2 linked regions of the Macaca fascicularis genome follow. The protein of the gene in region 1 purifies or fractionates together with the protein of each later gene. This does not show direct contact. Links are inferred from orthologs where the notes say so. Each region holds a gene or a part of one and is shown in the gene's direction. Other genes may lie near its edges.

What was found. The genes of interacting proteins can lie anywhere in the genome.
Region 2: the proteins of RNF185 (region 1) and TMUB1 purify together in Homo sapiens (affinity purification with mass spectrometry; 5 studies listed by BioGRID and IntAct, with this or other methods). This does not show direct contact. The link is inferred for Macaca fascicularis from reciprocal best matches to the Homo sapiens genes RNF185 and TMUB1.

The regions. Positions count from the first base shown.
Region 1 is NC_088384.1:20,440,058-20,444,583, reverse strand, and holds part of RNF185 (E3 ubiquitin-protein ligase RNF185), read left to right. Parts: intron 1-630; coding exon 631-748; intron 749-3,588; coding exon 3,589-3,686; 3' UTR 3,687-4,526. UniProt on the Homo sapiens protein: E3 ubiquitin-protein ligase that regulates selective mitochondrial autophagy by mediating 'Lys-63'-linked polyubiquitination of BNIP1.
Region 2 is NC_088377.1:192,360,423-192,365,674, reverse strand, and holds TMUB1 (transmembrane and ubiquitin-like domain-containing protein 1), read left to right. Parts: upstream 1-1,916; 5' UTR 1,917-1,971; coding exon 1,972-2,067; intron 2,068-2,118; exon of another isoform or gene 2,119-2,219; intron 2,220-2,801; coding exon 2,802-3,220; intron 3,221-3,494; coding exon 3,495-3,846; 3' UTR 3,847-4,303; downstream 4,304-5,252. Other genes in the region: FASTK (fas-activated serine/threonine kinase), read left to right, coding at 4,623-4,704. UniProt on the Homo sapiens protein: Involved in sterol-regulated ubiquitination and degradation of HMG-CoA reductase HMGCR. Involved in positive regulation of AMPA-selective glutamate receptor GRIA2 recycling to the cell surface.

The DNA.
Region 1 (4,526 bases):
CCATATACCTACATATTATCATGTGCTTGTGACCACAGTGTTCAAGCAGTTTTGTCTGAAAACTTGTTCACAAGAGTTTTTCAGTGTTAACCGCTTAAGTCAGGATAATGGTTCTTTGAATGCATGTATCAAGATTTTGATCATGACTTCCATTGTTGGCTAATTAGGTTTCAACATTTTTGCTATTAAAGATAATGTGTAGCTTCTTTGATGTTCCCTTGGGCACAGGGGTGACTGTCAATATTGCTGCTATAAAGCATGTGGAAGATGTTACTAGCTAATGTGGGACTCTGGAAAATATCCTCAAGCCCTCAGAGTGCTGACTTATGTCAGCAGACTGTTCCACACTGGGTCAGAGCCAGTCCTTTTTGGCCCATTCATAGATTCTTAGCTGGAAGCTAAGGCTAAAAGGGTTAAGCTAAAAGCTAAGGCTTGCAAGAGTTCCTCTACTTCAGGGTATATATGGGAGGAAAAGCTGTCCCCCATCTTGGAAACATGTGGCACAAGGTAGGGAGAAGAGGCAGGTGCCACATGCAAGACAACATGAGGTCATGAGGTATGTTGAGTTTTAACAGGCACAGGAGAAACCTGCCCAATTCTCCTGCCCTTAATTGCCTTTCTTCCACACAGGGATTTCAAGGATTTGGATTTGGAGATGGTGGCTTCCAGATGTCTTTTGGAATTGGGGCATTTCCCTTTGGGATATTTGCCACAGCATTTAATATAAACGATGGGCGGCCTCCTCCAGGTAAGAGCCTATTTCCTTGAGAAATTAGGAAGATATCTTAGTAATATTGCTTGAAAGCTCCTTGGAATTCAGCAGTATATAAGTTACAGATAATTGTCACTACATGGATAATCAGCCTTTTCAAAATGTCTTAAGCTGTTTTCAGATCACTTATAGACACGGTAACAATGTTGAGCCCTTACCAACTATTAGGCATATATATAGCACTTTCCATTCCAAGCTCAGGGGATCATCACAACCACCCTATGGAACAAGTGTGTGATTAGCTCTGTTTAACAGGTCAGAAAATGCTCAGTAATGTTACCAAGACATACCCCATGTCTATAAAATGAAAAACTACAAGTGGTACTCAGCTAAGGAAAAGCCTAGTTCTGCACATTTACTCCCCACTTTGACCATCTGGGGACATGGAAATGTGCGATGACTCATCAGGAGTGAGGGCATATCCATTCTCTGGCATCTCTGTCCAGCTTCCTTCAGGACACAACATGAGGCTGGTCACAAGCAGCCTCAGCCCTGTGGGAACCATGCCTAGGTCCACCAACTGCTGCTGCATTTCTCCCTCCTACTGCTTGAAAGTGCCATCTGCATTCAGTATAGAGCGAGGCAATGAGGTGGGTGCCCTGAACTCTATCACAGTCTGACACCCGAGCCAAAATCCTTACTGTGGAGCCTGCAGAGATGCCATGATCGGTTGAGCTCTGCCTGCACTCGGAGCTTCATGTACACTGGACACAGCATATGGTACAGAAGTGACCATTGTGTGGTTCACGCCAAGAGCTTATGCCCTAAAGACAGTAATTGGGTCATCCCAGTTATTCTCATCCCCACCCTGGTCCTTGGTACACAGCAGGTGATCTGTAAGTCTTTCTTGACTGTCTGCCTGCCTGTCTTCGTGAATCCATTAGAGCATCCAACTGAGGAATCTCAGCACCAAGATATCTAGGGAATGCCCTTTCTTACCTTATCTGCCTTGAAGGTTTATCCTCTGTTCACATTTTTTTTTCAGAGGAAGGATACCCCAAAAGATAGGGAGTACTCTGCCCTGAAGAAAGGGCATATCCCTGTGAAGCCAACAAGAACCTGCCTGATAGCTTGCATGCTTCTAACCTGGTCCAAGGCTAACCTTGGATTCCCCAGCTAAGTAGAGTTCCACAGCCAGGCTAGACTCTGGATCACTTTTTTCTCCTGCCACAGTCACAGTTTTCCCTTGTCATGCTTGGTACAATTTGACCATCCTGGATACAGATTATTTTATCCTCCTTCCCCCAAAGTCAGGACAGGGAGCTCTAAATGGTAGCTTTTCTCAAAGCAGAGAGGAGTGGAGACTTAGGTTCTCACCCCAGTTCGTCTGCCACTAACTTGAAAGACAAGTCATTTTGCCTGTCTGGATACTAGTTCTCTTCTGGAAAAGGAAGGCAATCCCTGTGAGCAATCCCTGTGGGGCCCTTGAGAGGCAGTGTGTGGAGAGACTGCAGAGCTCTGCCACTGACTTCTGAGCCTTTCGATGTTGAACAGGTCACCTCAAACCTATGTTTCAGCTGCTTCCTATTCAAAATGGAAATAATAATATCCACCAAATAATAACATGTACAAAACACTTAGCAGATAGAATATACTTAACAAACAGTAGGCTTGCTTTCATTATTTCCTGCAAGAGTTTTCTGTTAATCAGCTGGTTTATTTGCATGTGCAGGCCAAACCTTTTATGATAAATTGAACCATGTCTTGTCCTTATTGTTATTGTTGCACATAGTTTCATTTTGCCTGATATTATTTGGGGTTTAGAAATTTTTTTTGGCTGGGCACAGTGGCTCACACCTGTAATCCCAACACTTTGGGAGGCTGAGGCAGGCGGATCACCTGAGGTCAGGAGTTCAAGACCGGCCTGGCTAACATGGTGAAACCCTGTTTCTACTAAAAATTAAAAAAAAAAAAAAAAAAAAAAATTAGCTGGGTGTGGTGGCATGCACCTGTAATCCCAGCTACTCAGGAGGCTGAGGCAAGAGAATGGCTTGAACCCAGGAGGCAGAGGTTGCAGTGAGCCGAGATTGCGCCATTGCACTCCAGTTTGGGCAACAAGAGCAAAACTCCATCTCAAAAAGAAAAAAAAAGGCTGGGCACAATGGCTCATGCCTATAATCCCAGCACTTTTGGTGGCAGAGGCGGGCGGATCACAAGGTCAAGAGTTCAAGACCAGCCTGACCAACATGGTGAAACCCCGTCTCTACTAAAAATACGAAAATGAGCCAGGCATGGTAGCGCATGCCTGTAATCCGAGCTACTTAGGAGACTGAGGCAGGAAAATCGCTTGAACCTGGGAAGTGGAGGTTGCAGTGAGCTGACATCGTGCCACTGCACTCCAGCCTGGATGACAGGTCAAGACTCCGTTTCAAAAAAAAAAAAAAGAGGCCGGGCGCGGTGGCTCAAGCCTGTAATCCCAGCACTTTGGGAGGCTGAGGCGGGCGGATCACAAGGTCAGGAGATCGAGACCACAGTGAAACCCCGTCTCTACTAAAAATACAAAAAATTAACCGGGCGCGGTGGCGGGCGCCTGTAGTCCTAGCTACTCAGGAGGCTGAGGCAGGAGAATGGCGTGAACCCAGGAGGCGGAGCTTGCAGTGAGCCGAGATCGCGCCACTGCACTCCAGCCTGGGCAACAGCGTGAGACTCCGTCTCAAAAAAAAAAAAAAAAAAAAAAAAAAAAAGAAATCTTTTGTGTGTAGGATTCTGATGTTGTAAAGACATAAAAGATTAATGCTGTCAACTTCTGGCCTGAGTGGGTAGTGTGCATAGCTGCAGTGTTCTGACAGCCTGTTTTCTCCCTCCTGTCTCTCCAGCTGTCCCTGGCACACCCCAGTATGTGGATGAGCAGTTCCTGTCACGCCTCTTCCTATTTGTGGCCCTGGTGATCATGTTCTGGCTCCTGATCGCCTAATTCTGGGCTCCTGCCTACATCCGTGGCAGGGCTCTGGACTGGTGATGTGCCACCCCAACTCCTGGTATTTGGCTTCCTGGCTAATCTTGACTCCTGGAATCAGTGGGATCAGTAACACATCAAGGAGTCTTGTTTCTCCATCAGAGCTTTGGAACTCAAGACCAGTTGGCGATGACCCCTGAGTATTGCCACTGCTGTAAACACCCTATAACCTCAGGCCTTGGCATTGAGTCCTCTCTCATGGGTGACACCATGAAATCTTGTTTCAACCAGTTGAGCAGGTCCTGACTCTGTAGAGGGAAGAGGCAGAAAGAGAGAAACTGTCAGAGTATAATTTCAACTGAGTTTAATATTACAAAAACAAAAGGATGCACCAAATGGTATTTCTGGAAATTTTCATCTCTTTAAATACCCCTTGGTAAGTTGCCTCTGAAGCCAGTGGGGGCTCCTCAGATAGAGATGTTCCCCTTTCAAATTCCAGTGCCGCTCTGTTCTCTTTCCTCCCCTTCCCCCTCCTCTTCCTCTGTAGAGATGCAAGAAATTGCTGTCCCATAAAAATCATAATTGCAGCAGCTAAAGCTGGGGTCACTTCATGAATTCACCAGAGACTCAAATCTTTTATTGGCTCTGGGCTGTGCTCAGCGTCTTTGACCTCAGAGAACAACTTGAATGACTTCTTGGTTTCCTGGCATAAATTATTCCTGGTGGGACATGTGGCTTCACTCAAAGATTTCCCATCAGCTTTCTCCCTAAAACTATGTGCATCTGCCTCTGTCTGCCAGAGAACATACAGCCAAGAATACTGCTGAAGCTGAGACTGACTACTGTGCATTAGGAAAG
Region 2 (5,252 bases), on another chromosome or scaffold:
TTACCCACACAACTCAGCCCCAGTACCAACCCAGTCACTATTCCTGAGTTCCTTGTACCTTCCAAAGCACCTGGTGCAAGCTAATCAACACATAGGGTCTCCTAAGCTCCTGAGGAATCTGTGTCTGTGTTTCTATCTCCCTGCATAACCTTAAGGATATCTTGTGCCCTCTCTGGGTTTCATCTGCAAAATATAGTGGTTGAACAGAAAACCTAGTTCTGATGTATAATTCTAAAAGTAACATCCAACATCTCTTTTAGATGCTTAATTAGAATTGACAGCAGGAAGTAGCACCAGGTATACCTCCCAAAAGAGATACTAAGAGCAAAGAGCTCCTCAAATGTGTTGCCCCAGCAACTAGCACACACCTGTTATAGCTCTGATGGGCTGTTCACACGACTAGCTCCTCTACTAGTATATGGAGCCACATGAGGGCAGGAAGATGGTCTGATTCACCATTTTATTCCCAGTATCTTGCACAATGCCTGGCAAATAGTGTGTGTGCATATATATATATATATATATATATATATATATATATGCATATATATATTTCAAGACAGAGTCTCACTCTGTTGCCCAGGTTGGAGTGCAGTGGCTCGATCTCAGCTCACTGCAACCTCCACCTCCCACGTTCAAGTGATTCTCCTGCCTCAGCCTCCTGAGTAGCTGGAATTACAGGCACCCTCCACCACATCCAACTAATTTTTGTATTTTTTTTTTTTTAGTAGAGATGGGCTTTTACCATGTTGGCCAGGCTGGTCTCGAACTCCTGACCTCAGTGATCCACCTACCTCGGTCTCCCAAAGTGCCAGGATTACAGACATAAGCCACCGCGCCTGGCCATAGTATATCTTTTAAAAATATGTTAGTAGAATAAATGAATGAACAGGAGGGATGGAACTAGATAGGTTAGTTCTGTATGGTATCAATCTAGACTGACATTCCTAAGGCAATATTTGGGCCACTTGCTCCCACAGTAGGCAAGAACTATGGGAAAACTAGGATAGATTATTTTAAATCAAGACTGGCCTGTAAAAACCAGGATGTGAGATCTCTGTGGCTACAGGAGCCCAGAGGGAAAAATCCACAGATATCCACAGGCCTGGGATTCAATGTCATCCACACAGTAACACACCAGGATCCGATTCCAGAGACCAGCTTTGAGCGGAGGTGAGCAAATAGCTACTGTGTGACATGTACCTTAGTTTTCACACTTTTAAATAAAACATCTAATTTCTTCCTTATGATTGACTTACGACGTATGTTTCAGAAAGGAAGAAATTAATCTTTAGAGAGATTCAATAACCCACCCAAGGTCATATAGCTGAGAAGCACAGGATAAGGGATCAGGATTTGTGCCAGGTTCCAAGGTCTATGCTTCTTCCACAGTCCTGAAAGAGCAAGGTGGAGGAGGGGACCAAGGAAAGGGGCAGCCCTGAGGATGGGTATCCCTGGCCAGCCTAGTGGGACAGCCCATGGATATTGGGCTCTGGGCTGAAGAATTAATTTTGGTGGCCAAAGTGCCTTCTGGCGTCCACTCTGACATAAGGGTAGGGGCCACCTGAGTTCCTCAGAGCCTTCCTCACTGCATCACGAACACGGGTGTTCTGACGTGCTTCAGCTGACGTCGGTGTCTGGTGTGACAGATGCTCTGGCTGTTGGCGGGGGAGGGGGCGGACCCTGCTGCCGCCCAAACCTCTAGCCGGTAGCGCAACCCCCCAAAGCCGTCCCCACCGACCCCTCCGCGATCTGCTGGAGCAGAGAACCGCGGGTGGAGCCCAGCACGTGGGTCCGCAGGGCGGAGGGCGGAGACAGAGCGGCGCCGGACTACAAGTCCCACAATGCCCCGGGCCGCGGCGGCGAGGAAGGAGGGGTGCTTCAGGTGCCTGCGACCTCCGCGCCTCCCGCCCGGAAGTGTCCGAGGGGCCGCGATGGAGCTGGGGCAGCCGGGCGGTGAGTCCCCGCGCCATGACCGCGCCCACCCCGCCGCCCAGGGCCCCGGCCGGGCCCCGCCCGCCCTGCCCTGGATCGCCGTGCCCTCCTGCGGCTCCGGGGGGCGGGAAGGTGGGAGGGGTGATGAGGGGTGGGGGTAGGGAACGTGAAGTCTCGGATTCCGGGCGGGATCTGGGGTCTGGCAGCCCGCGGGGCTTGGAGACACTTCCAGAGAAGGCGTGGAGTTGGGCCTCCGCGGAGTGGGGTTGAGGGGACCGAGCTGGGTGGGTGGTGACGCTCGGAGGCTCCAGATTGCCCAGGGGCGGAGTTTGACGTTTGCTGTGGGGGAAGCCTGGGAAGCAGTCCTGTGCCGCGGGTGGGGTTTAGGTGAACCGTAATGCGGGGGGCGGGGGGTGGGGGCACAGAGGCTCTACCCCCACCTCGGAGAAACTTTAGCAACGGAGTAGATGAGCATGGGGTGAAGTCGGTGAAGGAGTAGACACACTGGGGTGAAGTGGGCAGGAGAATAGATACGCATGGGCGTGAAGTTTGGCTGGGGTGAAGTTTAGGGGAGGCGTTGCTTAGGCCCTTACCTTGGGATAGGGTTTGGGTGAGTTGGGAGCTGGTTGAAGACCTCGAGCTCAGATGACAGAAAGTTAGGACTTGGGATTCGGCGATGGGAAGGGGCACCCGGAGGCAAGTTTGGGGCGACTGGGAGGCAAAGCAGCCCGTACCCTGGGGTGGGTGAGGGAACCCAGGCTGAGGACGGTGGGAGCGTCGCGGTGGGGTGGGGGCAGGACCCTGTGGAGGTTCCAGGGCTCCTGGTCAGAGGGCCCGCGCCTCACGGGCTCTTTGTGCCTCTCCAGCTCGGTAGCGCGGCGGGCAAGGCAGGCGCCATGACCCTGATTGAAGGGGTGGGTGATGAGGTGACCGTCCTTTTCTCGGTGCTTGCCTGCCTTCTGGTGCTGGCCCTCGCCTGGGTCTCAACGCACACCGCTGAGGGCGGGGACCCACTGCCCCAGCCGTCAGGGACCCCAACGCCATCCCAGCCCAGCGCAGCCATGGCAGCTACCGACACCATGAGAGCGGAGGTCCCAGGGGCAGAGACCCCCAGCCTGAGACACAGAGGTCAAGCTGCACAGCCAGAGCCCAGCACGGGGGTCACAGCAACACCACCAGCCCCGGACTCCCCGCAGGAGCCCCTCGTGCTACGGCTGAAATTCCTCAATGATTCAGAGCAGGTGGCCAGGGCCTGGCCCCACGACACCATTGGCTCCTTGAAAAGGTACGTAGGTCAAGAGGCAGGAGCAATGCTGAAGACAGGGGTGGGGGGAGTGGTCACAGAAGGCCCCAGGAGAGACCTAAGACCCAGCCCTCCTTTATACTGGAGGCGCTGAGCGCCCCAGATCACAACTGCACTTGTTCCCTTGGCAGTCTGCCCCTCCCAGGCCAGGGCCGGTGTGTTGTGGAGGGCAGGGGAAGGGTGGGAGTGTTGTTCCGGGGCCAGGGACTAGGATTGCCTGAGGCCTGCTCTCTTACCCAGGTCCCTCTCTCCTCAGGACCCAGTTTCCTGGCCGGGAACAGCAGGTGCGACTCATCTACCAAGGGCAGCTGCTAGGCGACGACACCCAGACCCTGGGCAGCCTTCACCTCCCTCCCAACTGCGTTCTCCACTGCCACGTGTCCACGAGGGTCGGCCCCCCAAATCCCCCCTGCCCGCCGGGGTCCGAGCCCGGCCCCTCCGGGCTGGAAATCGGCAGCCTGCTGCTGCCCCTGCTGCTCCTGCTGCTGCTGCTGCTCTGGTACTGCCAGATCCAGTACCGGCCCTTCTTTCCCCTGACCGCCACTCTGGGCCTGGCCGGCTTCACCCTGCTCCTCAGTCTCCTGGCCTTCGCCATGTACCGCCCGTAGTGCCTCCGCGGGCGTTTGGCAGCGTCGCCGGCCCCTCTGGACCTTGCTCCCCGCGCCGCAGCGGGAGCTGCTGCCTGCCCAGGCCCGTCTCTCCGGCCTGCCTCTTCCCGCTGCCCTGGAGCCCAGCCCTGCGCCGCAGAAGACTCCAGGGGCTGGCAGAGGCCCCGCCCTGCGACCACCGGGGCTCGGGGCCACCTCCCGGGGCTGCTGGCCCTCAGTCCGCACTGGGAGTGGGCTCCTCGGGGTCGGGCATCTGCTGTCGCTGCCTCGGCCCCGGGCAGAGCCCGGCCGCCCCCGGGGCCCGTCTTAGCGTTCTGCCGGAGGACCCAGCCGCCTCCAATCCCTGACAGCTCCTTGGCCTGAGTTGGGGACGCCAGGACGGTGGGAGGCAGGTGAAGGGGAGGGGCATAGGAGTTCCCCGGAACTTGTGCAGATTAAAGTAACTGTGAAGTTTTCACTCTTGCAGTGTGTCTGAGTGTGTGCGGGATGGCGGGCGGGGACTCCTCGCCCCTTGGGAGAGAAGGGCACGGACGGCGCCCTCGGCTCTGGCCCACCGCTTTCCCTTCTCCCCTGCCTTCTGCTCTGGCTTTGGCGCCGGCCTCCGTGGCCCCGCCCCCGGTGCCGCGCGCGCACTTCCCGCGGGCGGAGCTCACGGCTCCCTGGCTCGCAGTGCCTGCCGGGAGCCACGTCTCCGCTGGTCGATAGCTGTTTCGGGATTGGTGTCCGGGCGGCTATCTGGGGGCTGCTGGGAAGATGGCGGACTCGGTGGCCAGCCGATGAGGAGGCCGCGGGGGGAACCCGGCCCCCGGGCCCCGAGACCGACTGAGGGAGCGACCTGCGCAGGGCCCGGGGAGTCATGTAGGGGTGGCGCCTGCGGGGAGGGCTGTGGGAGGGCAGCGGGAGCTGGTGTTAGCGGCAGCGGCCACGGTCTCCTGGCGTCCCTGGGTCGGGGTGGGTGTGGGGGCCCCCGACTTCGCCGACCCCACGCCATCGCAAAGCGGTGCACTCGGGCTCCACGCGCGCCCTGCGAGGTGGGCGTTGCGATTTCATTTCACGGGTGAGGAGACTTAGACGAAGCCACTTGTCCAAGGTCACGCCGCTGGTGAGTGGGAGCGCCCAGCATGGAACCCAGCGCCGTCCAGCCGCGGAGCCCGCGTTCCACCCTCTGTGCCGCCGCCGCCTCCTGCGGGAGAGGGAGGTGGTCGGGAGAGTGCACGCCGGTGCCGCCTGGGCTCCAGACTGGGCGCGACCACTAACCCGGTTAATGACCTCAGGCTTAACTTAACCCCTTAGCTGCTCTGGGCCTGCGTTTCTCCACCGGTGAAATGAGGTAATGCCAGCCCTGCCTACTCTTCACGGGCGTGTAAGGAGCATCAGAGATGGTGCATGTGGAATTGCTTTGCAAG